4 linked regions of the Pelodiscus sinensis genome follow. The protein of the gene in region 1 purifies or fractionates together with the protein of each later gene. This does not show direct contact. Links are inferred from orthologs where the notes say so. Each region holds a gene or a part of one and is shown in the gene's direction. Other genes may lie near its edges.

Evidence for each region.
Region 2: the proteins of EIF3B (region 1) and EIF3G purify together in Homo sapiens (affinity purification with mass spectrometry; 12 studies listed by BioGRID and IntAct, counting the BioPlex papers as one, with this or other methods). This does not show direct contact. The link is inferred for Pelodiscus sinensis from reciprocal best matches to the Homo sapiens genes EIF3B and EIF3G.
Region 3: the proteins of EIF3B (region 1) and EIF3E purify together in Homo sapiens (affinity purification with mass spectrometry; 9 studies listed by BioGRID and IntAct, counting the BioPlex papers as one, with this or other methods). This does not show direct contact. The link is inferred for Pelodiscus sinensis from reciprocal best matches to the Homo sapiens genes EIF3B and EIF3E.
Region 4: the proteins of EIF3B (region 1) and MTOR purify together in Homo sapiens (affinity purification with western blotting; 3 studies listed by BioGRID and IntAct, with this or other methods). This does not show direct contact. The link is inferred for Pelodiscus sinensis from reciprocal best matches to the Homo sapiens genes EIF3B and MTOR.

Annotation. Positions count from the first base shown.
Region 1 is NC_134726.1:28,589,089-28,596,151, forward strand, and holds the start of EIF3B (eukaryotic translation initiation factor 3 subunit B), read left to right. Parts: upstream 1-4,054; 5' UTR 4,055-4,210; coding exon 4,211-4,718; intron 4,719-5,021; exon of another isoform or gene 5,022-5,155; intron 5,156-7,063.
Region 2 is NC_134729.1:14,996,243-15,003,318, reverse strand, and holds the start of EIF3G (eukaryotic translation initiation factor 3 subunit G), read left to right. Parts: upstream 1-4,057; 5' UTR 4,058-4,196; coding exon 4,197-4,216; intron 4,217-4,602; coding exon 4,603-4,649; intron 4,650-5,171; coding exon 5,172-5,291; intron 5,292-5,372; coding exon 5,373-5,461; intron 5,462-6,056; coding exon 6,057-6,116; intron 6,117-6,393; coding exon 6,394-6,498; intron 6,499-6,691; coding exon 6,692-6,881; intron 6,882-7,076. Other genes in the region: DNMT1 (DNA (cytosine-5)-methyltransferase 1), read left to right, coding at 1-116, 232-348, 616-706, 1,111-1,148. UniProt on the Homo sapiens protein: RNA-binding component of the eukaryotic translation initiation factor 3 (eIF-3) complex, which is required for several steps in the initiation of protein synthesis.
Region 3 is NC_134712.1:30,022,382-30,029,804, forward strand, and holds the start of EIF3E (eukaryotic translation initiation factor 3 subunit E), read left to right. Parts: upstream 1-4,423; 5' UTR 4,424-4,492; coding exon 4,493-4,582; intron 4,583-6,974; coding exon 6,975-7,089; intron 7,090-7,423. UniProt on the Homo sapiens protein: Component of the eukaryotic translation initiation factor 3 (eIF-3) complex, which is required for several steps in the initiation of protein synthesis.
Region 4 is NC_134733.1:11,465,901-11,473,633, forward strand, and holds the start of MTOR (serine/threonine-protein kinase mTOR), read left to right. Parts: upstream 1-4,723; 5' UTR 4,724-4,875; intron 4,876-6,532; 5' UTR 6,533-6,574; coding exon 6,575-6,694; intron 6,695-7,172; coding exon 7,173-7,281; intron 7,282-7,733. Other genes in the region: UBIAD1 (ubiA prenyltransferase domain-containing protein 1), read right to left, coding at 1,317-1,804, 2,543-3,065. UniProt on the Homo sapiens protein: Serine/threonine protein kinase which is a central regulator of cellular metabolism, growth and survival in response to hormones, growth factors, nutrients, energy and stress signals.

The DNA of each region.
Region 1 (7,063 bases):
CACCTCCTCCTCCTGCGCCCAGCTCCCTTGGTGGGGGGAGTGACACCCTCCTGCAGCGCTACGCGTCCTTGGGCGGGCGGGAGGAAGAGCAGCCCCGGCACCCTGGGCAAGGCAGCCCCCCTCCCCGCTGCCCCGTTCCGTACCTGTGCCGGCTCCCCCCGCGCCTGCGGACACCTCCCCGTCCATCTCGCCAGCGGTCATGTGAGTCCAGAACCCCAGGCCTCCCTCTTCTTCCTCGCCAGAGGGGCGGAGCGGGCGGTGGGGGGCTGGAGAGCCCGACTCCGCCTGCCCTGGGGGCGGGGCTGGGCCTGGGAGGCTGAGCTGGGGAGTCCCCAGGCAGGGATGGGACGCGGGAGGAGAGAGGACGCCGGGGGAGGGGGAAGGAAGGACATACAAGGGGGAGGCGATGGAGGAGACGCTGAGGGATAAATGGGAACACCAGGCCGGGAGAGCGCTAGAAAGGGGGACAAAGGGAGAGGGAGGAAGAGATGGGGGAGCATGAGGGAGGTGACTGGGGTCACTATAATGTTCCAATGTTTGCATTAATGTCCATTCTCTTTCCCTCCCCACAGCAGTACTTTAGTCTGTTCTCCACCCCCACCCCACCTTCTGTGCTCATCACCCTGTTACGGGGACACAGCATGCCACCTCCCCCAGCTCCCCGGGTGTCACATTGTGCATGGCACGTCACATATCACCATCCTTCTCCAGCATGGCACAGAGACAGTCTGACGGCCCTGCTATTGTGTGGTGTCACGGCTAGGAACTCTTGTGAGGCAGTGTTGATACCACAGCATTCTGATGCAGTGCCATCATGCTCTGTGATCATGCCACCACACAACCTTCTGTTCTGGCAGGAGTAAAGCACATCCAAATATTATCTCCCATCTAAACACCATCATATCACAACATCATTTCAGGACAATGGCCCTGATTTAGCAAAACACTTAAACACATACTTCAGTTTCATGCTTTAGGATAATGTTGGGACCCATCAGCTTTCTCATAGACAACCCTGTTACATTTAAAAATACTGGAACAGGTCATGTAATCAGTGTTCCCTGTAAGCTGTGCACGTACAGTCACTCGGGAGTGATTCAAATGCCACCCAGCTGATTAGCAGGGCACCCAAGGCTGGGTTTTGTGTTCCTTCTGGTGGTGCACATTTGCACATTTCTGATGAATAGGACACCTCTAGGCACTATTGTAATATAAATAACAATTATTGGAGTAAGAGGGAAAACTTTTGGGTCATTTGCACCATGGAAATGGCAGGGGCAAATGGACTCAGTGCTGCAAACATAATGGGTATTTACCTCATTGTTCTGTATGCAGAATGTTTACGGCAGCGATCTCAAACTCTCAGCCCACAAGCCATCACCTGTTGGAGCAATTGTGCAATGCAGTCTGGGACTCCTGGTGGGCCAGGGAGGCCCTATTTGCTACCAACCCCAAATCCTGCCCTGTCCCACCAACACCCTGGTCTCTGCCCCTCATGGCACCCCATCCCTGAGGATGCAGCTTTGGGATCACTGGGGAGGGCCTAGTGCTGTGCAGCAGCAGCAATCACAGACACCCATACTTCTCATGGCGGCAGGATCCCAAGGGAAGTGGAGCACACTGGGCAAGTGCAAATATTTTTCAAAGGGGGAAAATGTGATTGACTAAAAAAATGGCAGACAACAATAGTCACCAGAAATGACTTAATTCATATTAACAAAATTACTAGATTTCAAGTTGATGGTGACCTTCTAAATAAATAATTTCAAGTAGGGATGTAAATTCTCATTAAAAAGGTTAACCAATTACATGATATAATTTTAATAATTTAACTGGTTAACTGGGGTACAGCCAGATTGCTGAGGGTCCAGCATGGCCTTGTGTTGGCAGGGCAGCTGCTCCAGCCAGCAATGATCCTGCCACGCTGCAGGGCTGCTTCAATCAGCTGGGGTCATGCCACAGGTGGCCTTGTGTTGGCAGGGCAACTGCTCCAGCCGGCAATGATCCTGCCACACTGCAGGGCTGCTTCAATCAGCTGGGGTCATGCCACAGGTTGGGGGTTTCCATAGCCAGCTGGGGTCCCGCTGTGCTGTGGGCAGGGGACTGCTCTGGCTGGCCAAGATCCCACCTCACCTCAGGACTGCTCTGGACACCTGGGGTCCTACTCCGTCAAGCTGCAGGCAAGGAATTGCTTTGGATGGCTGGGTTCCTGTGACTGACAGCAAGGCTGCTGGCTGGGTCTGGGCTCCTGCTATGCTGAGAGTAGGGGACTGCTCCAGTCTAGTGGGGTCTTGCTGTCCAGGCCAAAGTGGGAGGGAGGCTGTGCCTTCCCTCCCCGTGCCCGGATCTCCAGTTAATCAGTTATCAGGCAAGCATGCTTGTAATGTTTACTGGCTATCTGAAATAGCAACCCGTCCTCTAAGGGAACACACCCATTATTTCTAAGTATTTTTCGAAATAATGGACATGCTATTTAGCCATCTCTATAAACCTCATTGCACGAGGAATAAGGAATGGATCGAAATAGCCTATTTTGAAATAAAATCAAAATAAAATACACAATTTGCGTAGCACAACTTGCATTTCTTATTTCGAGTTTAGGGTGCAGTGTAGATGCACCCCCAGTTTCAAGGTAGTCTTTATCTTTCATTACATAAGCAAAGGTTCCTTTCAGCCATCCCTTATCCAGTCATCAGATTTCAAAGCGGTAGCCATGTTAAGTCTATTTCAGCAAAAAACAAGGAGTCCACTGGCACTTGAAAAACTAATAAATTTAGTCTTTCAAGTGCCACCAGACTCCTTGTTTTTGCTGAAATGACAGAGAGCTCTGTATCCCATGTCTTTTGCTTCTGATGAGACAGTAACTCCCCACATCTCAATACTCAGGGCCATCCATGTAGGGATCCACTGGACTTGGGGCCCTTACATGAATGAATGGCTCATCATTAGAGCCCTGTGCAGATACAAAATTTATACCTGCATCTACAAAAATATCTGCACAGACATCTGTGGGTGTGGATACCCACAGATATAAAGTGACTAGCTGCAAACTTGTAGGGTTCTAGATACAAACTTTGTATGTGTATTCATAGCCATACCTGCAAAAATGAACAGTGGCTATGGATACAAATACAAAGTAGGTATCTGCCAGTTTGCAGGACTCTACTCATTATCTCATACCTTATGCCTTTAGGCTGTGGCCAGCTTGCAGGTGGTGCCCCAAACTTAATTGCTCTGTATCCCTGACCGTAAGAGCCTCTTTCAGGTGTGACACTGGGAGGAGCTGGCTTCCTGGAGGTGAGCAGCTCTGCACACATTTTCCTAGGGCCTTTGCTCCAGACAGAAAACAGGGCTTCATCATATCCCTGCCACACCAGAATAACACTGGGAAAACTCATGATACTATATACGTGTCTAGAGAGAGTGCGTGTCTCTAAGGTGCCACATTTAATTGGGACAGGTCCTGCATTGGGCCGGGGGCTGGACTCGATGATCTCCTGAGGTCTCTTCCAGCCCTGTGATTCCATGACACAGGACGGCTGCCACACGTGCCTATTCCCAGCGCCTGGAACCTCCATGCGAAGTGCTCTTCCGATCACGTGAAGGCTAGCGATGATGTGGCGGCTCTTCTTGGACCGTACCATCCTTAACATGACCCCATCTAATTGGGGGTTCAAATATTCTCTCCGGTTTTTGCTCTGCGTCGCCTCTGCAGCAATAGCGCCTCACGACCAATCGTGACCCTCCCTTCGATTGACGTTAGTAGCGTCCATGAGTTGGACAAGTCCATTACACCACATTTGTAGGGGTACTAGGGCTATATTGTCTCCTCATTTTACCGTTTTCTCACTTCGACTTCATTGTTTTAAACACACTCATGTATCCTATACACAGGGCGCATTTTATTTTTAATCTGTACAAAGAAGTGTATTTGGTATCCCTCCCTTTTCACCGTCCAAGATGGTTCAGACAGATCTCACGTAGGGCTGCAGACGAGGGCCGCCATGTTGGACTAAACCAACCTTGTGTATGAAATAGGGAGAATGGGGCTTGATGGGAGATAGAGATTGAAGTCGCCCTCAGGCTCTGTGGGAAGCAGGACAGAGAAGAGACCCGGGTGATTGTCGCGCGTGTGGCCAGAGGAAAGCAGCGGGTGAAAAGCCATCCCCCCCCCACGCACACGCGAGGAGTTGGTGTGTTCCGCTTCGCCATGCCCGCCGGGTCTCGCGCACATGGCCTAGGAGTAGGAGACTCCCCTCCCCCCTGCCTTTCCCCGGAGAGTCCGACTGAGCGCGGCCGGCCCAGCAGCGACCCCCTCCCCATGCAGGAGACGGAGGAGAGTCAGGCGGCCGCGGCCGGAGCCGAGGGGTCCGGGGACGAGCCCGAGCTGCCGGACGGGCCCCTCCAGCGGGAGGAAGAGGCCTCGCCGCCGCCCGGCTCTCAGGCGGAGCAGCCGGCGCCGCCATCGCCCACTTCCCCGGAGACGCCGCCATCGCCCGCTTCGCAGGGGGAGACGCCGCCATCGCCCGCTTCGGAGGAGGAGGAGGAGCCCCCCGCTGCCGAGGAGGCCGCCAGCCAGGAGGAGCCGCCCGGCCGCCAGACCCCCGAGGAGAAGGCGGAGGCCGAGGAGCGGGAGGGGGCCGAGTCGGCGGAGGAGCCCGAGGACGACATCTCCTTCAGCGACCCGGAGGATTTCGAGGACGACATCAGCGAGGAAGGTGCGGAGGCCGAGGCTGCGCCGCTGGGGCCTAGGCCTGGTCAGGCGGGGCGGGAAGGGGCGAGCGGCAGGGACCACAGGCCTGTGGAGCCCTCAGAGACCGGCGTGCTCGCCTGGCCTGAGGGGGCGTAAAGTCCGCAGACGGGGCCCTGGACGCTCCGTTCTCCCCGGCGCCGCGTGAGGGAGGCGGGCGCCCGTGCCCTGCCTGAAGTCGCGGCACTGATGGGAGTGGCGGCCTGATGGGAGTCTCTAGGCCCGGCTCGCCGAGCTGTGCTCCTGCTGAGAAGAGCATGGAGCCGCGTACCGTGGTCCCCTTGCTGACTAGTCGCGGAGGCGCGTGTCTTCCAGACTCCCCCAGTGCCAGGCGGTGCCATCCCGCTGGGCTGCAGCTGGTCCGGTGACACCGGAGGGAGGGGGGACAGCTGGAGCGGGTGCTCACCCAAGCCTCTCTGTGACCTGCTGCGTGGCGTGAGCTGGATGTATGTGATGTTTCTGTTACAGCAGCATGTTCAAAATCTCTTTCAGGATAGGGGCACTTTGTTATACTTACAAATGCACAGTGGGGATAGTGTGTCTGCCTTGAGAGGCTCACGGTGTTAGCTTCTGTGCATGTGTGAGCAGTAGAGATCCCTCTTCTGTATTAGCATTTGTAAAGTATACTTAAATTAAAACTTAAGAATCAACAAGAGACCTATAGCACCTTAAAGACTAACAGATGTGTTTGGGCAGAAGCTTTTGTGGGTTTAAAAACATGGGGGGAAAAACTTGTAGTCTTTAAGGTGCCACAGGACTCTTGATTGTTTTTGCAGATAGACTAACATGGCTATCCCTCTGATATTAAAACGCTACTCTTAAGTTATAATATAAAATCTATTAAACCAAATCTCTGAAGTACCTTTCATGTTAATGTACCTTAAAGTACAGAGTAAACTTAATTGCCTTTTATTTTTAAACCCACTAACATTGTTAGTATCTGCATATTTGCGGCCCAGGACAATGAAATAACTCACATGCTCGTTTCTTATCCTATACTTATTTTAGATCAGTGGTCACCAACCAGTAGATCAGGATCTACCAGTAGATCTTGGAGCCTCTGACAGGTGATCCTGACAGGTTTGGCTGGGAGGCTATCAAGTGCCTGTGTTCCAGTTGCCCCTCCCTGCACTATCCTGCTGCTCTTGCTCAGAACTGCCCCTCCGAGCCTCCTGCTTGTTCAGAGTGGGGGAGACAGAGGCAGAGGGGCATTGATGTCACTCTGACCCCATTCCCTGTACCCCATCTTCACAGAGTAAGGAGGGTGGTGCTTTGGTGAAGGGGTGGAGTAGGTATTTGGGTTTGAGGTAGATCTTGGACTGACTTAAATTCAAAAAGTGATCTTGTGCTTAAAAAGGTTGGAGACCACTGTTTTACATTATCTGGCAGAGGGATTTTTAAACTAGCCTGTCAAAAACCAGTGATTGGTGGATCTTTCAAGGGTCTACAGAGTGAAAAAAAATTTAAACAGTAGGGAGAGTAAAGAAGGTTAGCGGGTAGGTAGGTAGGATCAGTGTGAGTGGGTAGGATTGCTTTTATGAGGGTTATGATCTTCAGTTATTGTATTCTGAAGAGCTTTTTGTTTAATATTAGTGAATCCAAGCTACGAGGCTACATGAAGAATGTAATTAGCTGCCATCACGTGTAACTATCTAAAGATGACTGGCATTTGTTGTGTTGAGTTGAATTTTGATTTGTTTCTTGAATCACAACTATTTTACTATTTGGAGTGGTTCTCAAACTTGGAGTCAGGACCCCATTATTGGGGTCTCCAGAATTATTTTAGACTAGTTAGAATGTGAGGCTGAAGCCTAAGACTGAGCCCCACCATATAGGGCCAAACCCCAAGGGTGTCAGCTGTGGGTGGTGAGGTTCAACTTACAGCTCCAGGACCCCTGCCTAGGACTGAGGACCTTGAGTTTTGGCTTGTCCCACAGACTAGGCAGTGGGGCTTGTGCTTTGGCCCCATCCCTTCTGGGGGCAGTGGGGCTCGGGCAGGCTCAAGCTTTGGTACCTGCTCCTGGAGTCATGTAATGTTTGTTGTCAGAAAGGGATCACGGTGCAGTGAAGTTTGAGGTTCCCTGCTATTTAACCCAGTAAGATTGCACACAAGGGATGTAAGCGACTAGTCGACTATCCGATAAACAAAAGCTTATTGGATAGTCAGCTAGTGCCTTGTCTAGTCACTTCCCCCTTACTTGCTGCCCCTGTCAGAGTGTGGATCAGGAGCTGGTGGCTGGGGAGCTTAAAAGCCGGTTCCCCCCCCCAGCACCATCTCCTCAGAGGACTGGGGAGGCAGGGAAGTAGCGGAGA
Region 2 (7,076 bases), on another chromosome or scaffold:
GGTGCCTGCCCCACACCGGCAACCGGCACAACCACTGGGCGGGGCTGTACGGCCGGCTGGAGTGGGACGGCTTCTTCAGCACCACCGTCACCAACCCGGAGCCCATGGGCAAGCAGGTGGGTGAGCGCGACCTGGCAGGGGCTGGGGGGCGGGGAGGCGGCCACACAGCGTGGCCTTGTGGGCGAGAGCCTCCTGTGCGGGCCCTTGGCCACAGCTGCCTCTCTTTACCAGGGCCGGGTGCTTCACCCGGAGCAGCACCGGGTGGTGAGCGTGCGGGAGTGCGCGCGGTCGCAGGGCTTCCCTGACACCTACAGGCTCTTCGGGAACGTGCTGGACAAACACAGGCAGGTGGGTGTCGCCGGGCGGGGCGTCTGCGCGCAGGAGCCGAGCCCAGCGCCACCCCTAGGTTCACGGCGGGGGAGGGCTCCTGGGCGGGGGGCTAAGCAGGTGAGTGGTGGAGGGCCAGCGCCCCGCCTCAGCAGCAGGGGGCAGAGAGGCGGCTGGGAAGCAGGGTCCCGGGGGGGAGAGGGGCTGGCTCAGAGGGTCACGGGTGTGATCGCACTGGGAGCTCGTGGCCGGATCTGGGCCCGTGTGAGCTCCCCCCTCTCTCGGCAGGTCGGGAACGCGGTGCCTCCGCCGCTGGCCAAATCCATCGGGCTGGAGATCAAGGCGTGCGTGTCGGCGAAAATGAAAGAGGAGGCCACAGGTACCTCGGGGGCGGGCGGACTCCGGGCCTCTGTGCCTGTGCTGAGGGAACGTGAAAACGGAACCGTGGGGCTGCCCTCCTGCGGGCTCGGCGGTCTGTCCTCGGCTAGTGGGCTGGCGTCTGTTCTCCCCCTTGGCCGCCTGCTGCCCACGCTCGACGCCCCCGCCCGGCCCGGCTTGGGGGAGGATCGGCAGGGCCGCAGCTTTAGAAAGGTCCCTGAGCAGCTGGCTGAGTGGCACCCGGAGGCCGCCCCGCCAGGGTCTCAAAGCGGGCGGCTTGTGGGTGTTCGTGTTACGGCGCCGCCTGCTGCCCAGACTGGCTAGTGGCTCCCAACTCTCAGCCTTGCTGGGGGGCCAGGCTGAAGTGGGACCTGGGGTGACGTTGACCCTCTTGGCCCTTGGCAGAGCCCAGCAAAGCAGCCAAGATGGAAGTGGCGGACTAGCCCGAGTCCCCGGCCTCGGACTCAACCATGCACTGATTTTCGTGTGTTCTGTTCTCGTTGGGCTTGCTGCCGTGACGAGGTCTGTCTCCGTGTTCGTCTCCCTGGCGCCGCGGGAGCTGTGTGTGATGGTCCAAGTGTCACTACTAATCATTCGTGATCGGCTGTGCAGTGCCCCACCGCATTCTGGATTTTAAGGACGATGTTTTTATTATGCATTGAAAATAATCAGCCACTTCCTGCGAGTGGCAATTAATACTCTGTAGTTTTTATATGTTGTAATATTTCTTCAAATAAATCTCGCCTGTAAATTATCCCCTCGGGGACGCTTCTGCTTCCCCTTCCTGGCGGCTGTTGCTGCGCCGTGTGTGAGGCGCCGACTGGAAGCTGCTGCGCTGCAGGCTCCCCCTGATCCTGCTCGCCCCCCCAGCCGGCACGAGGCCATGGCTGTACCGCTGCGGCGCTGGGCTCCATGCTGCTCCCGGAGGGGCCCGAATGCAGCACGCCTGTGAACAGCGAGATGTCTCCGGAGGGTGCCGGGGTCTCCAGTTTCTCAGAAGCCTCCGTCTTTCCATGGACTCTGCGTTCTGCTGCTTGTGCCTGGGCTGGCCAGGCCTTCCACAGGGTTGCGGGGAGTTTATTGCTTCTCCACGATACAGCCCAGCACAGATGTCATCTGGTTACAGGAACTGGGGCTAGGAGGCCTCAGTGCCCCCCTTGAGATAGGGGAGTCCCAGCCCCCTCCCCAGCTCCTTCTCCCCTGCTTTCCAGCCAGGAACTAACCACCTCTCCTCCAGCCCTGCCCCCCAGCCAGGGCAGCATCCACCTTCCTTTGTTCCTCTCCATGGGGGGTGGCTGGTCAGACAGGTTGAGAGACCCTCTTTGCATAATGACTCATCCTGGTTTGCTGGGCCGTGGTACCAACTGCAGCCAGTGGGGTTACCCCAGAGCCAGCAGCATAGAAACCAGCCAGGTACCCCCACTACGTCACAGCCACGTGGCCCACGTGTTGAGTAGCCCTGGTCTAGACCATCCCTGATAGAGGTCTGTCCAACCTGCTCTTAAGTATCACGAGCGATGGAGATTCCACAACTCCCCCCCCCCCCTCCCCCGGCAACTTATTCCAGTGTTTGACCCCCTCTGACAGTTGGGAACTTTCCTAATGTCCAGCCTGAACCTCCCTTGCTGCCGTTTAAGCCCAGTGCTTCTTGTCCTGTCCTCAGAGGCCAAGGAGAACAAGTTTTCTCTGTCCTCATGACACCCTTTTAGATACCTGAGAACCGCTCTCATGTCCCCTCTCAAATCTCCTTTCCAAACTAAACGAAGCCAATTCCTTCAGCCTCCCTTCATCCGTCATGTTCCCCAGACCGTTCATCATTCTTCATGTAGTGCACAGTCACGTTGGCTTTTTTTACAACAGTGTCAGGCTGCTGACTCATTTAGCTTGTGGTCCACTCTGACCCCTGGCTCCCTTTCTGCCGAACTCTCCTAGACAGTCACTTCCCATTGTGTGAGAGACACGGATTGTTCCTCCCTAAGTGGAGCACTTGGCGTTTCTCCTTCTTAAACTTCACCCGATGTAGCTTAGACAATTTCTCCAGTCTGTCCGGATCAGTTTGAATTGACCCACTCGCAGCCCCGTCCAACTTAGGACCATCTGAGCACTTAATAATGGCGTAACTGGAGCCTGCACGCCTCCCTTTCCTACTGGCGCCTCACTCTGCCCCACGGGTCTACGAGGGGTGGGAAATGGGGGGCGGGGGCGGCAACGGTCTATGAGGTGGGCTCACAACCCAGGGCCGTGCCCTGGGGCCGTGCTGCCCCTGCCCCAGCGAGGGGAGAACACGCAGGCCGGACTCTGCTCAGCAGCAGGGCAGATCCCTGGGAGAGGCCTGGCCCCTGCCCCGCGGTTCCCAGCTGTTCCCTTTGACGTTTCCAACCTTGGGGCAGGCTTGCTGGAGCAGTGCTGCCTAGTAGGCTGTGCCTTGGAGCCGCAGCGTCTCCCCATGTGCGCTATGGCCGGGGGTCCCAGCGCCCCGCATGTGTGCTATGGCCGGGGGTCCCAGCGCCCCCCATGTGCGCTATGGCCGGGGGGTCCCAGCACCCCCCATGTGCGCTATGGCCGGGGGGTCCCAGCGTCCCCCCACGTGCGCTATGGCCGGGGGGTCCCAGCACCCCCCATGTGCGCTATGGCCGGGGGGTCCCAGCACCCCCCATGTGCGCTATGGCCGGGGGGTCCCAGCGCCCCCCCCATGTGCGCTATGGCCGGGGGGTCCCAGCGCCCCCCCATGTGCGCTATGGCCGGGGGGTCCCAGCGTCCCCCCACGTGCGCTATGGCCGGGGGTCCCAGCGCCCCCCCATGTGCGCTATGGCCGGGGGTCCCAGCGTCCCCCCATGTGCGCTATGGCCGGGGGTCCCAGCGCCCCCCCCCGCGCTATGGCCGGGGGTCCCAGCGCCCCCCATGTGCGCTATGGCCGGGGGGTCCCAGCGTCCCCCCACGTGCGCTATGGCCGGGGGTCCCAGCGCCCCCCATGTGCGCTATGGCCGGGGGGTCCCAGCGTCCCCCCACGTGCGCTATGGCCGGGGGTCCCAGCGTCCCCCCATGTGCGCTATGGCCGGGGGGTCCCAGCGTCCCCCCATGTGCGCTATGGCCGGGGGGTCCCAGCGCCCCCCATGTGCGCTATGGCCGGGGGGTCCCAGCGTCCCCCCATGTGCGCTATGGCCGGGGGGTCCCAGCGCCCCCCCCATGTGCGCTATGGCCGGGGGTCCCAGCGCTGCGCCCTGCGGGAGCCCGGACCCCGCCCAGCAGGGGGCGCCGCCGCTACAGCCCCGCAGCAGGTGCGTCTCCCGGCATGTACCGCGCCAGCTCCGCCCCTCCCCGCTCCCGGCCAGGTGCGGCTCCCGGCATGCACTGCAGCGCCACGCCCTCTCCCAGCAGGCCCCGCGCCGCCATGCCCACGGGGCCGCTCTAGCCGCGACTCGCTGCCCCGCGCGCTTCCGCTTCCGGCCCGCGCGAGAGAGGGAGCGAGGCTGAGTCCTGCCGTCGCCGCCATGCCCACGGGGGACTACGAGTGAGGGGCGGAGCCGAGGGGGCCGGGGGGCTCTCGGGGGGCGGGGCCGGGGGGGGATCTCGGGGGCCGGGGGGGCTCTCGGGGGGCGGGGGGAGCCGGGGGGCTCTCGGGGGGCGGGGCCGGGGCGGGGCCGGGGGGGCTCTCGGGGGGCGGGGCCGGGGCGGGGCCGGGGGTCTCTCGGGGGGCGCGGGGGCGGGGGGGGCCGGGGGGCTCTCGGGGGGCGGGGCCGGGGCGGGGCCGGGGGTCTCTCGGGGGCGGGGCCGGGGGGAGCCGAGGGGGCTCTCGGGGGGCGGGGCCGGGGGGCTCTCGGGGGGCTCTCGGGGCCGGAGGGGGCGGGGCCGGGGGTCTCTCGGGGGGGCCGCTCTGTGACTGTCTCTGTCCCGCAGCTCGAAGCCCAGCTGGGCGGACCAGGTGGAGGAGGAAGGCGACGATGGTGAGAAGCCCCCGCGCGCCGGGACCCCCCCGGACCCCCCCGCCCCTCCCGGCTGGGGGCCGGGTTCGAGCCTGCAGCTCCCGGGGGCCGGGCCCCCCCACTTGCCGGGACGCGGGTGACTGCGCTGAGCTGCTGCAGGGCCAGAGCCTGGGGGTCCCCTGCCCTGGGGCTTCCTCCTGGGGGGGGGGGGTCTGAGGAGGGGGGGGCAGGCTGGTTGCTCTGTGCCGGGGGGGGGATGGTCTGAGGAGGGGGGGGCAGGCTGGTTGCTCTGTGCCGGGGGGGGGGGATGGTCTGAGGGGGGGGGCAGGCTGGTTGCTCTGTGCCGGGGGGGGGGATGGTCTGGGGGGGGGCAGGCTGGTTGCTCTGTGCCGGGGGGGGGATGGTCTGAGGAGGGGGGGGCAGGCTGGTTGCTCTGTGCCGGGGGGGGCAGGCTGGTTGCAGCCTCTCCCAGCCCCGGGGCGGAGGGGGCGTCCTTCCCCTCCCATCCTTAGATCAGTGCCGCGACCTCGCTTCTCTTCCCAGACAAATGCGTCACTAGCGAGCTGCTGAAGGACCTGCCCCTGAGTGGGGGGCTGAGCGTGACCCCGACCGTGACCCCCCAGAGCGTGGACCTGAGCGCAGATGCTGAGCTGCTGAAGGGAGGTAAGAGCCGCCGGGGTGCAGGACCCCCTGCCAGGAGCACCTGGTCTCACAGTTCTTACCGGCTTCCCCTTCCCTCTGTAGGTCCTCTCCCGTCCCCAAAGGAGCTAATCAACGGGAACATCAAAACCATCACAGAGTACCGGGAGGAGGAGGATGGGCGCAAAGTGAAGGTGAGTGGGGGGGGCGCTGGAGAGCAGGCCCTAGAGTTCCCTGGGCTCCCGGCTGGAATCCTGCGTCTGCAAAGCCCTTCCCAGCCCCTGAGCAGTGGGGCTCCCCAGTCTGGGGCTTCATTTGCTTTCGCTTCTCGGCCACTTTCTCCTAATCGCAAGGACTGGCCCTGCTAGGACTCACCCCCCTCCGAAGCCCCCACGCGCCCTGTGGCCCTCCTGCCCCATGGCCCGGCAGGCAGGCATGGCAGCTGGAGCATGGGGTGGCAGGCCCCCCCCGGCAAGCTGTGACCCCACCTGACCCCAGGGCTCTCAGCGACTGGTACTGTGGTCAGTCCAAAGCAGCCGGGAAAGGCCTCGAAAGGAGCTCGCAGAGCCAGGGGGCTGCTGAGTCCAGAGCCAAGGGCCAGGGTGGCTAGAAATGGAGTCTCTGGCCTCTGTCAGAGGCTGGGAATGGGCAAGGGGGGCGGCTCACTGGAGGGCTCTGTCCGGTCCCGCTGGGGCGTCTGGCAGTGGCCGCTGTCGGCAGCCCGGACCCTGGGCTGGGTGGGCCGTTGGTCTGACCCCGCCGGGCTGCTCTTCTGTGCTTATGTCCCAGATCATCCGCACCTTCCGCATTGAGACCAGGAAGGCCTCTAAGGCTGTGGCGCGTCGGAAGGTGAGTGAGCTCGGCCCTGGCCGCTGGCCGGGGGGTGGGATCACAGGTGTGTGCAGGGCGCTGGGAAGTGCCCCAGCCTAGTCCCACCCCACTGCTCCCCTGGGAGCCCCTTGACCTGCTGGGCAGCAGAGCTGGGTCCCGGTGTCAGCCGGGGCTCCCGTGCCTGCAGGACGCTTGGTGTCAGGGCCTGAGACGGCAAGGCCCAGGGAGTGCGTGTGGGGAACGGGGGGACGGTCTCCTCAGCCCCTCCCCCACCAGCTCATTGGCTCTTGCCCAGAACTGGAAGAAATTCGGCAACTCCGAGTTCGACGCTCCGGGCCCCAACGTGGCCACGACCACCGTGAGCGATGACGTCTTCATGACCTTCATCACCAGCAAGGAGGTGAGGGCAGAGCGGGGAGTGGCGGGGGGGCCCAGGGCTCTGACAGCAACCCATGGGCCCTCCTGCCCCCGTGCGTTGGAGCTGGGCTGCTCTAAGAGGCGGGGGGAGTCCAGGCTCGCCGGGGTGGAGTCCGGGGCCCTGCCCCTGGCGAGGAGGGCGCCGTGGGGCTGACGGGGCTCCCCCTCTGCTGTAGGACCTGAACTGCCAGGAGGAGGAGGACCCCATGAACAAGCTGAAGGGGCAGAAGATCGTGTCGTGCCGGATCTGCAAGGGCGACCACTGGACGACGCGCTGCCCCTACAAGGACACGCTGGGCCCCATGCAGAAGGAGCTGGCCGAGCAGCTGGGCCTGTCTACGGGCGAGAAGGAGAAGCTCCCAGGAGGTGCGGCTGGGGAGGGCAGGGGGCACAATGGGGCACTCTGGCTTGACTGTGGGCTGGCCAGCGGGGGCAAGGCAGGTCCCCAGGCGTGGGAGATGGGCAGGGGGCTGTGTCCAGAGATCTGGGGCTATGTGAAGGCTTAGTGAACCTGGCTGTGCTGCCTTGCTGTATGCTCCCACTGGGTCCCCCAGTGCCAGG
Region 3 (7,423 bases), on another chromosome or scaffold:
GAAACCAATGTTTGTCCAATATATTACCTTTGATATCATTTGATTATGAAAATAACTTCCTTCATTCCTTCCTCTCATCTCACATAAGTGCTTCCCTTCCTGCACACCCACACATAATATGCAATATTATCTGAATAGGTTGCCCATCCTGTGATGGCTGACTACCTTGAAAAGGCTTATGTTGAATCATTGGTGAACCAAACAGGAAAGATAAAACAGCATCATCAGCTAACGTTTTAGGATTCAGACCAGGTTTTCGTTTAAAGTGAAACTCTTCTAAGTGTGCTAAATTTTACAAAGTTACCCAGATTGCCTTGATATTTGCTGTGCCACATGGAAGCTTGATAGTGGCCCAGATTTTGGGGTACTTGATAGAGCCACTAACATCTTCTCTTAAAGATGATAGATTCTGGCAACATTCTTTTGGTCACAAGTAGTGATCAAACTAAGGCTATGATCATTGCACCAGAGAGTCCAGTGTGGAACCAAGCCTTGGACTTCTAGAACTTACTGCATGAGCCTCTACAGCTTGAGCTAAAAGTCAGTTGGTGCTCAGCTATGGCTGCAGAGCAGACTTATTCTTTCTCTCTGTAAGTGGTCTAAGTGCCACTACATGGGACAGTACACCATATCTAGAATTTGTATGGTTTATACCAATACTCCAGGGCTACCTCAACAGCCCTTTGCGGGGGGAGGAGGGAAAAAACCTTTTAATTTGTTTTTTTAAAAGATTTTGCTTCTTTTGTTGAGCACATTGCACATCTCATAAGCTTAACTGGCTCACTTAGGCTTTGTCTACAGTACTCGTTTTTGCAGCAGAAAATATGCTAATGAGAGACTCATTAGCATAAGTTGCGACATCATTAGCATATTTTCTGCCGTTTCTTTTTGAGCAAAAAGAATCTGTGTAGCCGCTTCCATTTTGTGCAAAAAAAAAACCCTTTCTCCAGGGGAGGAGAAGTGAGGAGCCAGGCTTCTGTCGGTCCAGACCGATGCTCCAAGATGAGACCCGGAGTCCCATGCAAGGCACCCCATATTTATAGGATCTTCTTTCATATGCAATTAACAGTGAGTTTCCATTAGCAACTGGTAGTCCACAGAAAGTTGTGCATTGACCGAGGTGGTCCATGGGGTGTGCAGTGGAGAGGGCATCTTCCCCCCTCCCGGGAGAGCGGCATGACCCAGGGCAGGAGAGTTAAACCTTGGCATGCCACTTTGGAAAAGCTGCTTACCCTTGTTGTAACGTGCCATTGGACTATTCTGTCTCTTTAAGACAGGGTTGGGGGTTCTTCCAAGAAGTGTGCTGTCAGTACATATGCTAATGATCCAGCTAATGAAGGGACAGCAACAGCCACTTCTCTGGCAGTTAAACTCCTCCCCACAGCTAAGCATCAGATACTGAGTGATGGGGGCAAACAACACAAAGCAATCTCAGTGGTGGTAGTGATGGTGTTTTTTCGCATGGGATTACCCCTGGAAAGGAAATGTAACTCCACAGGTGGTGGGGCCATAACATACAAAGTCTCCTTACACCCTTTCTATGCTAAATCCCCAAAACACACTTACTACATCTACACGGCCCCTCTCTTGTGCAAAAAATATGCAAATGAGGTGAAATGTGGACTATCACCACATCTCATTTGCATAATTAATTAGGCTGTTTTTGCGCAAGAGGCTTTTGTGCAAATGGAGCCATCTACACAGCTCCTTTTTGTGCAAAAAACCCCTCTAGCGCAAGACCCATTATGCTTTTTTTCCGGAAGAACGGCTCTTGCACAAAAATGGAACTTCATTAATTATACAAATGAGGCACAGCAATATTCCACACTTCACCTCCTTTGCGTATTTTTTTGCGCAAGAGAGGGCAGTGTAGCTAAAGTAAGTATCTTTACTAAGGAGATGAAAAATACAATAAATGCTGAGCAAACTGCTAGACTGAAGACATGGTATGATAATCATACTTGGAAGAGCCTCTCTGTTATGTATTTGTGGTGATTTTATGTCTCTGATCATCCCGTGTCAGGGCCATATGCAGTGGCAGGGGTGTGTGAAGGGTGCAAACAGACCTCCCCCCTTGGTCACCCATGAGGCCGATTCTGGCTGGCTGGGAAAAGGCAGGAGCAGTGTGCTGCCTGAGCCTCCCTCCTCCAGATGGCTGGGGGAAGGCAGGAGCAGCACACTGTCCAAGGCTCCTTAGCCTGTCTCTTGCCCGCCAGAGGTAGGCTGGGGCTGATTTCTCCCCTGCCGCTCCTTCCCCCAGCTTCCCCCCCCCCCCCCCCCCCGCAGCTGTGTCTAGACTGGCAAGTTTTTCCGCAAAAGCAGCTGCCTACACTGATGTGACAGACCAGGCCATGTCTGGGCACAGCTGAGGGCGTCCGCTCAGGGCGAATTGCTCAAATCCTGGGCTCCTTACAGCCCCCAGACTGGTGACCTCTCCAAACAGGCCACAAACCAGTCCCACAGAGCGCTTCAGCAGCCTGCCTGAAGCCTCATGAGCAAAACCCCTCTGACACCCCAGCAATATCCGTGCCCCAGATGGCCCCAGGCCTCATACACAGATGGGGGGAGGGGTCCTAGCACCCAATCTCACCTACCCAGAACAAGTTCTGTCCAGTTCCAAGAAACCAGTCGCAGATCCCTGGTCAATTTACCCTCTGGATCTTACCCACAAATCACGCTGAGCCAATCCTTTAGAATCTATATCTAAAGGTTTATTATCACAAGAAAGAAAAGCATGAGAGTAAGGTTGTTAAAGAATAGTACGTTACATGCACCGAATCTCCCAGTCCTCGATGCAGGCTCTAGCAGAGATGTTACAGCTGCTGGTTTAAAAGTTCTTGTTGCACATCCTAGTATCAGGATGGGTTCACAGGTCTTCCGGGCTCTTCGATCCTTGCAATGCTGCCTCTGGGATGAAGTGCTGAGCTGAGAACCAAGTTGGCTTCGACCACATGGCCTCTTTATACCACCTTCCTGGCCTCTTCTTGGCTGCAGCAGGTCACCTGGTCCTCAGCCTCTCTCTGCTGGCAGCTCTTAGATGTCCGCCCTCATGCTTTAGGTGTGTCCTTGGCCCATCGAGTGCCATTGTCCCACAGGGCCTTTATGATTAGCATGTCCATAGGCCAGGCTCTGCCCAATGCTCAACCACATTCAGAGAAATATTCAGTATCCACACAGACTACAGATTCCTAACTACACACACAGACATTATACAACCACATAAATATCTTACATAGGATTATCAGATAATAAGCTTCTATTCAGCACCCCACATGGCCCCCTTTTATACCATTTTCTGGAGCCACCACCCCCACCTAGGGGTGCAGCAGCGATCTGGCTGCTTCCCTCAAATTAGGTAATGTGACAGCTGGCCACTTGAATTACGGCAAGAACACTGACGATCTCATGTAAGAAATCAGTGCTTCTTGCGGAAATACTGTGCTGCTTCCGTTTGGGCAAAAGTCCTTCTGCGCAAAAGGGCCAGTGTAGACAGCTCCGATTTGGTTTGCACAAAAAAGCATGTCTAGATTGGCACGGACACTTTTCCTCAAAAAGTGCTTTTGTGGAAAAGCGTCCGTGACAAACTAGACGCTCTTTTCCGCAAATGCTTTTAACAGAAAACTTTTCCTTTTAAAGCACTTGCAGAAAATCATGCCAGGCTAGACGTAGCCCTCCCGTAGAGGGGCAGGGCTCTGCTGCTCTGGCAGGAGACTGGGTAGCCACCAGTCCCTCCCACAGGTCAGGCCAGGCAGCCTAGCCAGCCACAGTCTGACTCTTCCCCAGCCTTCCTGGGCAACCAGAGAGGGAGACTGCAATATTTTGCAATATGGTTTTTCATTTACAATATGATGGGAAGATCCCAGAAGGTAATTTCTATAAAATCTTTATTGCAGTATAAATGTCTAGCATAACAAAATCACTTTACCCATCAGTTTCCACTCAAGTTTTTCATTAACCTCTCTTATCTAAACTCATTAGGTGCCTATTTTGAACTTTATATTTAAAACAAACAGTGGTCCACATTTACCAAAAAAGACCCCCCCCTCCCCGGGCAATGCCTGCGTAGGGGCCTGCACGTGCCATGCAACTCAGGGGGCCAAGGGAGGGGTTTCAATGCAGCCAGAGCAGCTTGTAGGTGGGGAAGCCCCGGACAGGGCCACACCGCTGAGCGGCTCCGGCCACGCTGAGTCAAGCCACGCGCAGCGCGCGCACGACGTAGGAAAGGACACGAAGCTTCTTTAGAACTCCGACTGGCTGCCAGCCCTCAGCCAGACTCGCACGCGCGGCTCGGGCCATCTCCGCACGCACGCGCACAGCCCCGCGCCCTCTCGCTGTCACGTCACGCCACGCCACGCACGCGCGCTCTCTTCCCCCCAGACCACGCCTTTTCCCTCCGTCCTTCTCGCGACGGCGTCGTAGCCGCGTCGCTGTGCGCGTCCGTGCGCGTGGGGGGAAGCGGGGCGGCTGCGGCCCCGCCCCTCCTTTTCCCAAGATGGCGGAGTACGACCTGACCACCCGCATCGCGCACTTCTTGGACCGGCACCTGGTCTTCCCGCTGCTCGAGTTCCTGTCCGTCAAGGAGGTACGTGGAGACCGGGCCCGCCCCTCGCGGGCTCGCAGCTGGCACGTGGGAGGCGGAAACCAGCCAGCGGGGAGAGCGGTAACGAGGCCCGGAGCCGCCCGGCTGCCTTCGGCCTCCCCGCGGGGCCTGTCGCACAGGCAGCGTCACGAGCCGGCGGTGCGCAGGGTGTTCGTGAAGCCCCTGCCTGGGCCTGCCCCAGCTGCTCGCAGGCCGGATGCGGGGAGGAGGAATCTTTCCCCGCCCACCCACGGCAGACTTGGGGCCCCTTTCCTCACAGGGGCAGGGCGGGGATCCTTCCTCAGCTGCCCGCGGCTTGGGCCCCGTCCCCACACGTGGCGGATTGGGGGAAGTTTCCCCCACCGTGAGACAAGGGACTTGCCGCCAAACCTCGCGGAGCTGCCCTTGTATCGGCTTGTCTCCGCTCTTCCATCGCTCCCTAGGCAGGGGAGACTTTTCTTACCACCATAGTTTGTCTCCTGTAAACCTTCTAGTGTTCTTGAAGAACCTGGTGGCTCTGAGGCTTAAACTGATGTATCTACACATAGAGGGACATAATTTGTTAGGGAAGAGGCAAACATGGTTTTTGTAAAAAGAAAGAATCCATTACACTTTATTAGAATTCAGTGTTCGGGAGGGAGGGGGAGAATTCAACAAGCTGGACAGGCTGTTCCAGTGAATTCAGTTTTACTTAGTTTTTGACTAAAGCCGCGAGGAGTCCTGTGGCACCTTATAGACTAACTGAAGTGTAGGAGCATAAGCTTTCGTGGGCAAAGACCCACTTTGTTAGATTTTGACTGTTTGTGACAAAGAATCATCAAAACAGAGTCAGACCCCACATTTTGGGGGCGCCGCGCCTCCGTGACTGCTGCCTTAACCTTCCTATGAATTAACCTAGAGTACTGTCTCTGGTTATGTCTACACTCCCGGCTTCTTGTGCAACTATGGCCGTTCTTGCGCAAGAATCCACAGTGTGTCCATACTGCCCGCCTGCTCTTGCGCAAGGAAATTTACAGTATGGCGTGGTAAGAGAGGGCTTCTTGCGGAAGAGCTACGTTCTTTTTTAACAGGTGTAAGCCCTTTTGCGGAGGAGCTCTTGTGCAAGGGGGCAGTGTGGACGCTCAGCAGGAATTTCTTGCACAAGAAAGCCCTATGGCTAAAATGGTCATCAGAGCTTTCTTGCGCAAGAGAGCGTCCAGCACAGCTCACACATGGCAGCGTGGATGTTTTCTTGCGCAAGGCTTCTTTTCTTGCGCAAGGCTTCTTTTCTTGCGCAAGGCTTCTTTTCTTGCACAAGATGCTGCCAGTGTAGACATTGCCTGGGGGTGGGGGTAAGACCACGGCAGTGGTAGACCTTGTCTGCCCTGCCTCAGCCCCCCCACTGCTTTCTGTGGTCATCTGTCTGCATTAATTTAGTCTATAGCCATACATACTTTACTTAAAAATTAGTGTAATATTTCCATTGGATTTATCACGCTTCAGCCATGTGGTTCTTACTGAATGTAAATGATCAAGCCAGGTATAATGTTAAAGGTCATAGAGCAGAATATTCGTTGATGTTAAAATATTTAACATTTTACTACAGTGCAATGTACAAGACTCCATGTTCCCACCATAGGACATACAAATATCCTATAGAGCAGTGGTCTCCAATCTTTTTAAGCACAAGATCATTTTTTAATTTAAGTGCAATTCAGGATCTACCTCAAATCCAAATATCCTTGTCCTACCTCTTCTCTAAGGCTCCATTCCCTCTCTGAGGCCCTGCCCTGCTCACTCTGTCTGTTCCTCCCCCATCCTCACTCACTTTCACCAAGCTGGGGCAGAGGTTGAGGTACAGGCTCTGGGAGAAAGTTTGAGTACAGGAGAGGCCCAGGGACAGAGATTCAAATTGCTCCTTTATGTATGCCGAACATGTTCAGCCTTAGGCACTGTTTCTAGCAAGCTTCCTTCATCCCAAGCCCTGTTGTGTTGTTTTTCCCCCCTCTGTAGAGATGGGTACAAGGTTGTGGGAGGGGGACACCCTGACATCATCTGGCTCGCCTGCCCTTCACAGCAAAGAGACTCCACGGGACAGCTCCAAGGCAGAGGGCAGGAGCAGCATGGCAGTGAGGGAAGGGCAGTTGAAGTGACAGCGCTTGACAGTCTCCTGGCCAAACTAGTGAGGATCACCTTCCTGAGTTTCCAGGATCTACCAGTAGATTTTGTTCCACTGGTTGGTGACCACTGCCATGGCGTCTTCTGCTTGTGGGAAAGAATTGTGGAGAGTTTACTTAATGTAAAATATAAGGTTCTGTTATCGTCACCTTATTCGTAAATAGGCAGAGCTATTTTTAAGTCCTTATAAAGAGCTGTTCACTGTGTCACAAGAAATCATTTAACTTATTTTTTTCAGATATACAATGAAAAAGAATTACTTCAAGGAAAATTGGACCTTCTTAGTGATACCAACATGGTGGATTTTGCTATGGATGTGTACAAAAACCTTTATTCAGATGAGATTCCTCATGGTAAGCTTGGTCATAAGTGGATCTGTGGATTTTGCAATCAGTTCTAAAATCACAGCTTGAATAACAATCTTGTCAAACAACTGTCAATTTTACTGTCTCAAAACTATCCCTAGTGATAGAAATGTAGCCATGTTAGTCTGGGGTAGCTGAAGCAAAATGCAGGACCCCTAGTTTTGTTGTTGTTGTTAAAAACAGTTGTCTCTGTGGCTGATTTTGCCCAATGCTGTGGCTGAGGCGGCGGCTGGAGGAGGCAGAACACGAGGTGGTTTCTTGAGGTTTGAGTTCATAGCCTTTCACCCAGGTAAGGTGGTGGTTGGACCTCCTTGCTTCCTCC
Region 4 (7,733 bases), on another chromosome or scaffold:
AGTGATCTAGAACTTCAAAACTGACCAGTGAATCACAGGAGCATCATCAAAACATTGCTCCCCCCCACACTGGAAAAGAGAAGAAGAATCTATCAGCAAGAATAATGTACTCTCCTGATTTCTGTACAAAGTCACTGCAGAAATTTAGACTCCTTCCTGCAATGCCCCCATCATTCTCCCTTGCTGCCTCCAGCTTGCCTTACAATAGGATGACAAGCAACTTTAAGTAGATGACAGATATGGAGAATGACAAAAAACACTTTGCTACTAGAGACTTGCAACTACAACATGTGTCTGTTAGTCAATATCCAACTGTCTACAGAGCTTTGTTACCCTGCCTGACAGTTTTGGGGGGGGGGTTAAACACCAAGACTTTTTCATCTTAGGCAGAAGGGTCTGAGCACGAGACTAACATAACATCAAGAAGAGAACTTTTCATCTCACCAAGTGTTTATAAGCTTCTTAGCTGCATAACTTGCACTTCTGACCCCTAGCTACTTAAAGAGGGAGTGGAAGTTCACTTTTGGCTTTAAGCTCAGTGCAATGGAGCAGTTATATTCCATTTCAGCACCTATATACCACAGCAATGGATACTTTAGAAATGCCTAGGTAGAAAGGCACTGGCAGATCTGGCAGTGGGAGCATGAGAAACTGCTGTCTTCCATAAATCAGCAGTTCTGGATGGATACACATGCCCTATTTCACATTGCTATGAGACTAGGAAATACAAGATCAAGATTAAGCAGAAATTGGGGGGGGGGGAGAAAACAGTCCGGGTGGTGGAGATGAAGATTTATAATGAAGGGAGTGAAGTAACAGCATCTGCTTTATTGCAATGCTGACCAAGTTAAAGCTTTGAGTGGCAATTTGCATGTGGCACAGTGTAGAAGTGGAGCTACTGAATCTTTGCTTCATGTTGGGAGGGGATGACTCACAGATCAAGGTTCAATGTGCCTGGGAGGGGAAGGAAGAGTTCAAACTTGAAGCTCAGCCCTGCTCTCATTGAAGTTAAGTTCCTTTGAATTCAATGACAGCAGCAGCAAGTCCTTGAAACATCTGTCTGCTCTCAGGGTGAACTGCAATAAGCACCAAGAGAAAACAAGACCCATGTTGTCAATTCAACTCTTCTCCAAGACACCATTAGAAGTCTCTAGTACGAGAGAAACCGTTTATCTCAACAAGACCAAAGCCCACAATATTCACATGGGGTCACTGCCTTGAGCTAGCCTTCTTGCTCTGGCCACCATCCACAACAAACCTCCGACTTCCAACCGAGATCTGCCATTAACACTGAAGCCACGAGGCAGCGCTAGCTGTTACAGTTTGGGCAGTGTGCCTGGTGGTGCCAGCAGAATACCAAAAACATAGAAGAGCCCCAGCAGGAGATTGAGCTTGGCTGTCCGCTGGGGAAGTTTGCTGAAACTCTGGCTCCGGAACTGCCTCTCCAGCGAAAAGGCCATAGGAATGGTAAGTAGTGGTAGTGCCATGCTGATGGTATAGCGTGTGGCCAAGACGCAAAAAATCAGGTAGGGCAGGAAGAGTAGTGTGTTGTAGAGCATGTAGGAGAACATGGGGCCAATGAGGATAGCCAGGGTGACAATGCCTGCTTGCTGGTCAGATTCCATGTCCCGAGTGTTGTTGCTGTGCAGGATGGCCTCCGTGCTGAGGGCTAGTGGGATAGCATAGAGCAGCGGTGAGACAGACAGATAGCCAACCTGCACGGCATGGGCAAACATAACAGCCAGGGGTCCAAACGTGATGAGGATCACCAAGTCGCCAAGTGCAACATATTTAAATCCAATTCCTGTGGCAATAAACAAGATGAAAACAAGTGTCAAGTGTTACCAAGTAAAATTTACTTTACAGAGAACAACAGATGTTTCTTAAACAGATCAGCTCCTAAAAATTGCTGTAAAAGCCAATACACAGCTAGGGCAGGGCTACACACGTTCTTTTATTGCCCCAGAATTGATTATCCTTTACCCTTTCCAAAGATAATAAAGCAAATACAATTTTTGCAATTTCCAGTCTCAACCAGTGAGCAAAGATTAAGGGGCAGATTCCAGTTATCCATCTGGAATACCTTATTCCACAAGCAGTCCTACTGAAGTCAAAGGGATTACACATGAAGTACAGTGCTACCCAATGTGAATACAGATAGAATCTGTCCATGAGCTGATGCAACAATGAGAGTAGAGTAACAGCTGCTACATCTTCCAAATGATAGTTTGTGAATCCTAGAAACTAATCTTACTTATAGCAAAACACAGGGTATGTCTCTTCATCTACCAGATAGCTTAACTGATGAGGCAAAATCAACTTTTTTTATCTTGAAATGTCCCTTAAAAATATCTTAAGTTTACTTTTCATTTGAAATTAGATCTGGCCAATAACAAATAACAAACCCTACTGATAGTACACATTGGGCTCCCTCCATGGAGAAGAGAGCATAAATAATTAATCAAACCAGCTGACATACACCAGATATACATTTCACACACAATTTCTGCAGAGACTTAAGAGTATGGAGTACAACCCTTACCTCCAGTATAAAGGAAAGAGCTGGAAAGTCCACCAAAGTAAATCAGGGCCAGGTGCTCCAGCTTGAGAGTAGAGAGACAGTAGAGGCAGGCAGCACAGACACAGCCCAGAGTATAGAGGAAGACCCCAAATCGAACCACATCCTGAGGCTCCAAGATCTGGTCCACCAATGTCCGGTCATCACTCTTCTTGTGGTCAATACCCTTTGAGAAGTCATAGTAGGTATTAACCAAGTTGCCTGCTCCATGCACAGCCAGGACAGCCACTGCACTGCCCACTAGCAGCCCTGGGTCTAGGGATCCTTGGGACCGATAGGCTAGGGCACTGCCCAGAGCTACAGGAGTCAGAGAGGCACTGAAGCTCCAGGGCCGCAGGGCCAGGACATAGGCTGCACATTTCTGCCTCCAGGTGCCTGGATGGCTCTTCTCAGAGCTTAGCAGCCCTACACCCAGCTCCCCCAGGTCAACACTTCTAGGGCTCTCAGCACTGATGCTAATCTTCTCTGTCTGATCCTCAGACTCCATGCTCTTCACGCAGCTGCTTCAAGAGAAGGTGCTGGACAGAGACCTGGGAAAGCCAGGAGAGTTTGCATTAGTAACTGTAGCCTAAAAAGGAAACCGGCTTCTCCGGTGGCTCAACGGTGGCACACAACCCGGGGGGGAGCTGCCAGGCCGTGGGGGAGTCCGCCCGCAATGTGAACCTCTGCCCACAGCAGCACAGAGAGCGAGTGGCAGGGCCCATCCCATGCTGGGCACCACAAGGGAGAAGCCGGGTCCTCCCGTGGCTTTCACCTCCACGTGCGGCGCCTCGGCCCCCGCAGCCCATTTCCCCGACCTCCGTGTCCCCTGCGGGAGGAAGAAAAGGCCCCAGGGGCAGGGGCGCAGCCCGGGTGAGGCGCCGGGGAGGCAGCTCCGAACCCGGGGCGGGGCTGAGCTTGCTTCCCCGACTTACGGGGCTTAGGGTGGCTCCAGGGCCCCCTCGCCTGTTGCAGAGCCAGGTCCCCGACAGGCCTCTCCGCTCACGAGCAGGCCGGGCACTCGGGACCACGGCAACCACCCGGAGGTGCTACGTGTGCACCAGCCAGGCCGGCCCCTCCAGAAACAAGGGCACCGCTTACCGAGGTTCCGCTTGCTCTGAGGGCAACTCAGGGCCTGAGGAGGGGGAAGGATGGGGGAAGAGCCCCACCCACACTGTTAGTAACTCAATGGGGGGGGTGCCTTCTCGCAGGGGCGAGGTGGCATAGTTAGGTGAAACCCCTTCCTTGGCGTCACTCAGCCAGTCCCTAGCAGAGCTGAGGGTTGACCCTTGCAACCCCATTTCCATTCTTTAGCTAGAGACTATAGAGACTTCCCTATGCCCAGCGCTGCACACTGGTGCTTGTGATGCTGCATGCACACACAGGCCCATGCAGGCGGAACAGTCTACCTGGGCCATTGTTTGCAAGATCAGAGCCTTAACCTCTCCAAGCCTCAATTTTCCCAATCTGCAAAACCCGGGATAACAATCCAGAGAGAGTAATATGCGGGAAATACTCAAATAAACTGGTAATAAGTGATAGAGGAAAAGCGTAGGACGTTAATACCTGCCACATTTATTAAGTTATTAACCATTATTATGAACTATTACGGAGCATCCACATCTGTTCATGGGTAACAATAACAAGCCTGTTTATTTGAACACTTCCCCATTAACATTAGCAGTAGATCATGGCTATTAAACGCTCTGTGCGGATTATCATTGTACCTATTCGCTATTCTACGTGTCACAAACGCGGCTGGCTTCTACACGCGTCATTACGGGAACAGAGCGCTCTTCGGGGGGGACTCATTTCATGGCTGCACCCAGAACAGTAGAGACGCTGACAGCGGGGGATAAAAGGGTTCACGCGGCGGAAGACTCCTACAGTCTCCACGCTTAGAAAAAGGGCCGATGCGGCGCCTTTTCCGCTTGCGCACAAACCTGTATCGCTTCAGAAAGGGCGGAAGCAAGGCGGCTTTCCAAAGACGGGGGCAAACTCTGAATTCTAACCAATTACGCGGCCTCTCGCTGACCATTGGTGAATCTAAATGTCAGTCTATCACTCTCTGCCCTTTGATTGGCCAGAAGTAACTCCACCCGCCTCCAGCGGGTTTTTTTTTTGGAAGGGGTGGAACCACGAGCCGCCTAGTAAACCCTCCTGCCCCGCAAAACTATTGGCTGGGCCACCTGCTAGTTACAGTCCCCTCAACGCCGATTGGCTGGCGGTTTTTCGCCGGGCCGGCGGCAGCAGTGGGGGGGAGGGGAAACCCGGGGCCCAAGCTGGGGAGCCGGTCGCGGCTGGGCCGGGTGGAGGCGGTGAGTGAGGGGGGCCCCGATCCGGAGCTGGGAAGTCATCCCCCTCCCCCCAACGCCGGACTGCGGGGGCTGCCTCCCCTCCCCCACCGCCCGGCCGGCTGGCGCAGGCGTCCAGCAGCCGGAGCCCTGTCAGCGGGGCCGGGGCGCTGCCCTGGGGGCTGCTGGCAGGGGCCCGCCCCGCAGCACGGGAGATGCCCGGAGCTGGTAGCCCCCCCCCCCCCCCGGGGCCTCCCCGCTCTGCTGCCGCCGGGGCTGGGACCGTGGCCTTGGAGCTGCGCCGGCTTCCCCCTCGCCCCTCGGGGAGCGGCCGGGTCTGAGCCCCCCGCTCATGCGGGCAAGGCCGCTGCCCTTGGCTCTGGGCCCGGATCCTAGGCCTGGTTGGCCCTCGCTAGGCAGGCTGCGTCCACCCCTCGTGCATTTCTCTCTCCGGAGAAGAGGGCGCCTCTCTGGGCTGCTCCTCCAGCCTGGGTCCGAGCACGGGAGCCGGCCCTGGCCTGGGGGGATGCTGGTAGCTGGAAAGATTCCACACTAGACTCAGAGGCATCTGCTGTACCCGAGGATTTTAACGACGCAGGGTTGTCCAGTAGCTAGTGAGGAATAGGGACCCAGGGCTCCTTAAGGGTCTGACCCTAGTTCTGCTACTCATTTGCTGTTTGCCCAGTAGTAAAGTCTGTGACCGGTTTCCCCCTTTCTTAAAAAGTGTATTTTTAACCTTTGCAAAAAAAAAAAATGCACCTATCACCATGGTTTCCAGACATGCACAATATTAAACATCCCATTAAAGCAGTGATGGGCGATCTATTTAGCGAGCGGGCTGCATGAATCTCCAGCCTGCATCTTAGCGGGCTGCAGAATTAACATAACCACGGTGGTCTCCCAGGTTAAGGTAGTTTTGCTAACTCTGCTTGCATGCCTAGAACTTTCAGGGTGAGCCAATTGAACCGTAGCAGTGCTTTGATTGGATGCAACAGGAACACTCGGCTCTTGCAGTCAATGTTGTATGCAAACAGCATGTACCTCACTTCATGTTGCCCACCACTGCATTACAATGATGGTTGCTGGCATGAACAGATTCTCGGCCTATAAATATACATTGGGGTTTGACTGTGTTTGTAAAGAATTTTCTGTTCTTGGATGAAAGGCAACATAGAGGAGCAAATTAGAGTAACAATAATATTGACATGCATGCCAAGCGGTCCTTATCCTCCTTGTAACTTTGCATGACTGGGAACACCTCGGAAGCACAGCCCAGTGTGTATATTTGGGCGTGGATTTGATTTGAGCATGTCACATGTGAGCATGAATGGTTTGGGATGAGACTGGGGGAGTAAGGGAGGTTAAGCTCCGACCTGCTTCTGTAGGATGCACTGAAGGACTTAGCAACCTAGTGAAGGACTTAGTGGCCAGGGTACAGACTCTTAGATTCCACAGATCTTGGTGAGACTTAAGTGAACTCTGGAGCCCTACCAAGGTCTGTGAAATGTGAGAGCCTGTACCTCTGTCATGGATCTCATGGAATCTTTGTAGTTACTGTGGCATCTGAGAGCCCACTGTGTCTCATGGCATGTGTATTTGGGAGCAGTAATTTGGAGCAGTGTGGTGGAGGGAGCTATAATTGGCTTCTGCAAAAGCAAAAAATAGGTTTTCTGTATAAAAGGTCCACCGGACTTGATGCCCCAAGCCCTGACTCATCACCACCATGTCGGGCACCGTGTCCATCCTTCAGCACTTTGCCAGCGGCCTGAAGAGCCGCAATGAAGAAATCAGGGCAAAAGCCGCCAAGGACTTGCAGCATTATGTCACCATGGAGCTCCGTGAGGTAAGTGCTGTAGATGTGGAAGCAGCAGCATTTAGCTGGGGAGATATGTTTGTATTATGTGGCTGGGGAATGAGAGGTGTCACCAGTAGGGATGTAAGTGACTAGTTAAGTGCTGTAGATGTGGAAACAGCAGCATTTAGCTGAGGAGATATGTTTGTATTATTTGGCTGGGGAATGAGAGGTGTCACTAGTAGGGATGTAAGTGACTATTTAAGTGACTACTTGACTATTCGCTATCCACACCCACCCCCACACCCCAGCCCCGCTGTCTCTGGGGGTAGATCCCAGAGCTGGTGCAAGCTGGGACTGAGCAGTCCCGGCTCGGGCCGGCTGTGGGACCTGTACAGCTCTGTATTTTAAATGTAGTAAGAGCTGCCTTTGAATTTGGGAGCCTGGAAAGTGTTGTTGCCCTTCTTCATCTGGGGCACAGGTAGTGGAAAAGGGATTATAAATCGGTCTGAATTCCTTTCCTGTGCAGATGAGCCAAGAGGAATCCACTCGTTTCTACGATCAGTTGAATCACCACATATTTGAACTGGTCTCTAGTTCTGATGCGAATGAAAGGAAAGGAGGCATTCTGGCTATAGGTGAGTAAAGGAATTCATCAGCATCTTTGGTGAACTTCCTCTTCAAGTTCTATAGAGGCAGGTTGTCAAAAGAACTCTGCACCTACAAGAGGCACTCTGTATGCTGAAGAGAGCTCAGTGCAATGAGGGTGTATGGGATGCAGAACTCTTAAAACTCTGAGGCTGCTCAAGAGGGCTTATACCTGAGCAGGAGCGTCGGAGTATTTGCGCAATAACCACTGATTTTGTACATTACAAAGTCAGTGTTCTTGCACAAATAGTCGTGGCCAGTGTAGACAGGCGGCAAGATTTTGCGCAAAATTGGCCACTTTTGCTCAAAATCATGCCAGTCTAGACGCAGCTTGACTGTAAATGTCACATTGGGAGCTGTTGGTTGCTGAGCACTTCTGAAAATCTGGCCCTATGCTCTTTATAGTGTCCAGTGTTGTTGGTGGTCATAATAGGCCAGTCCC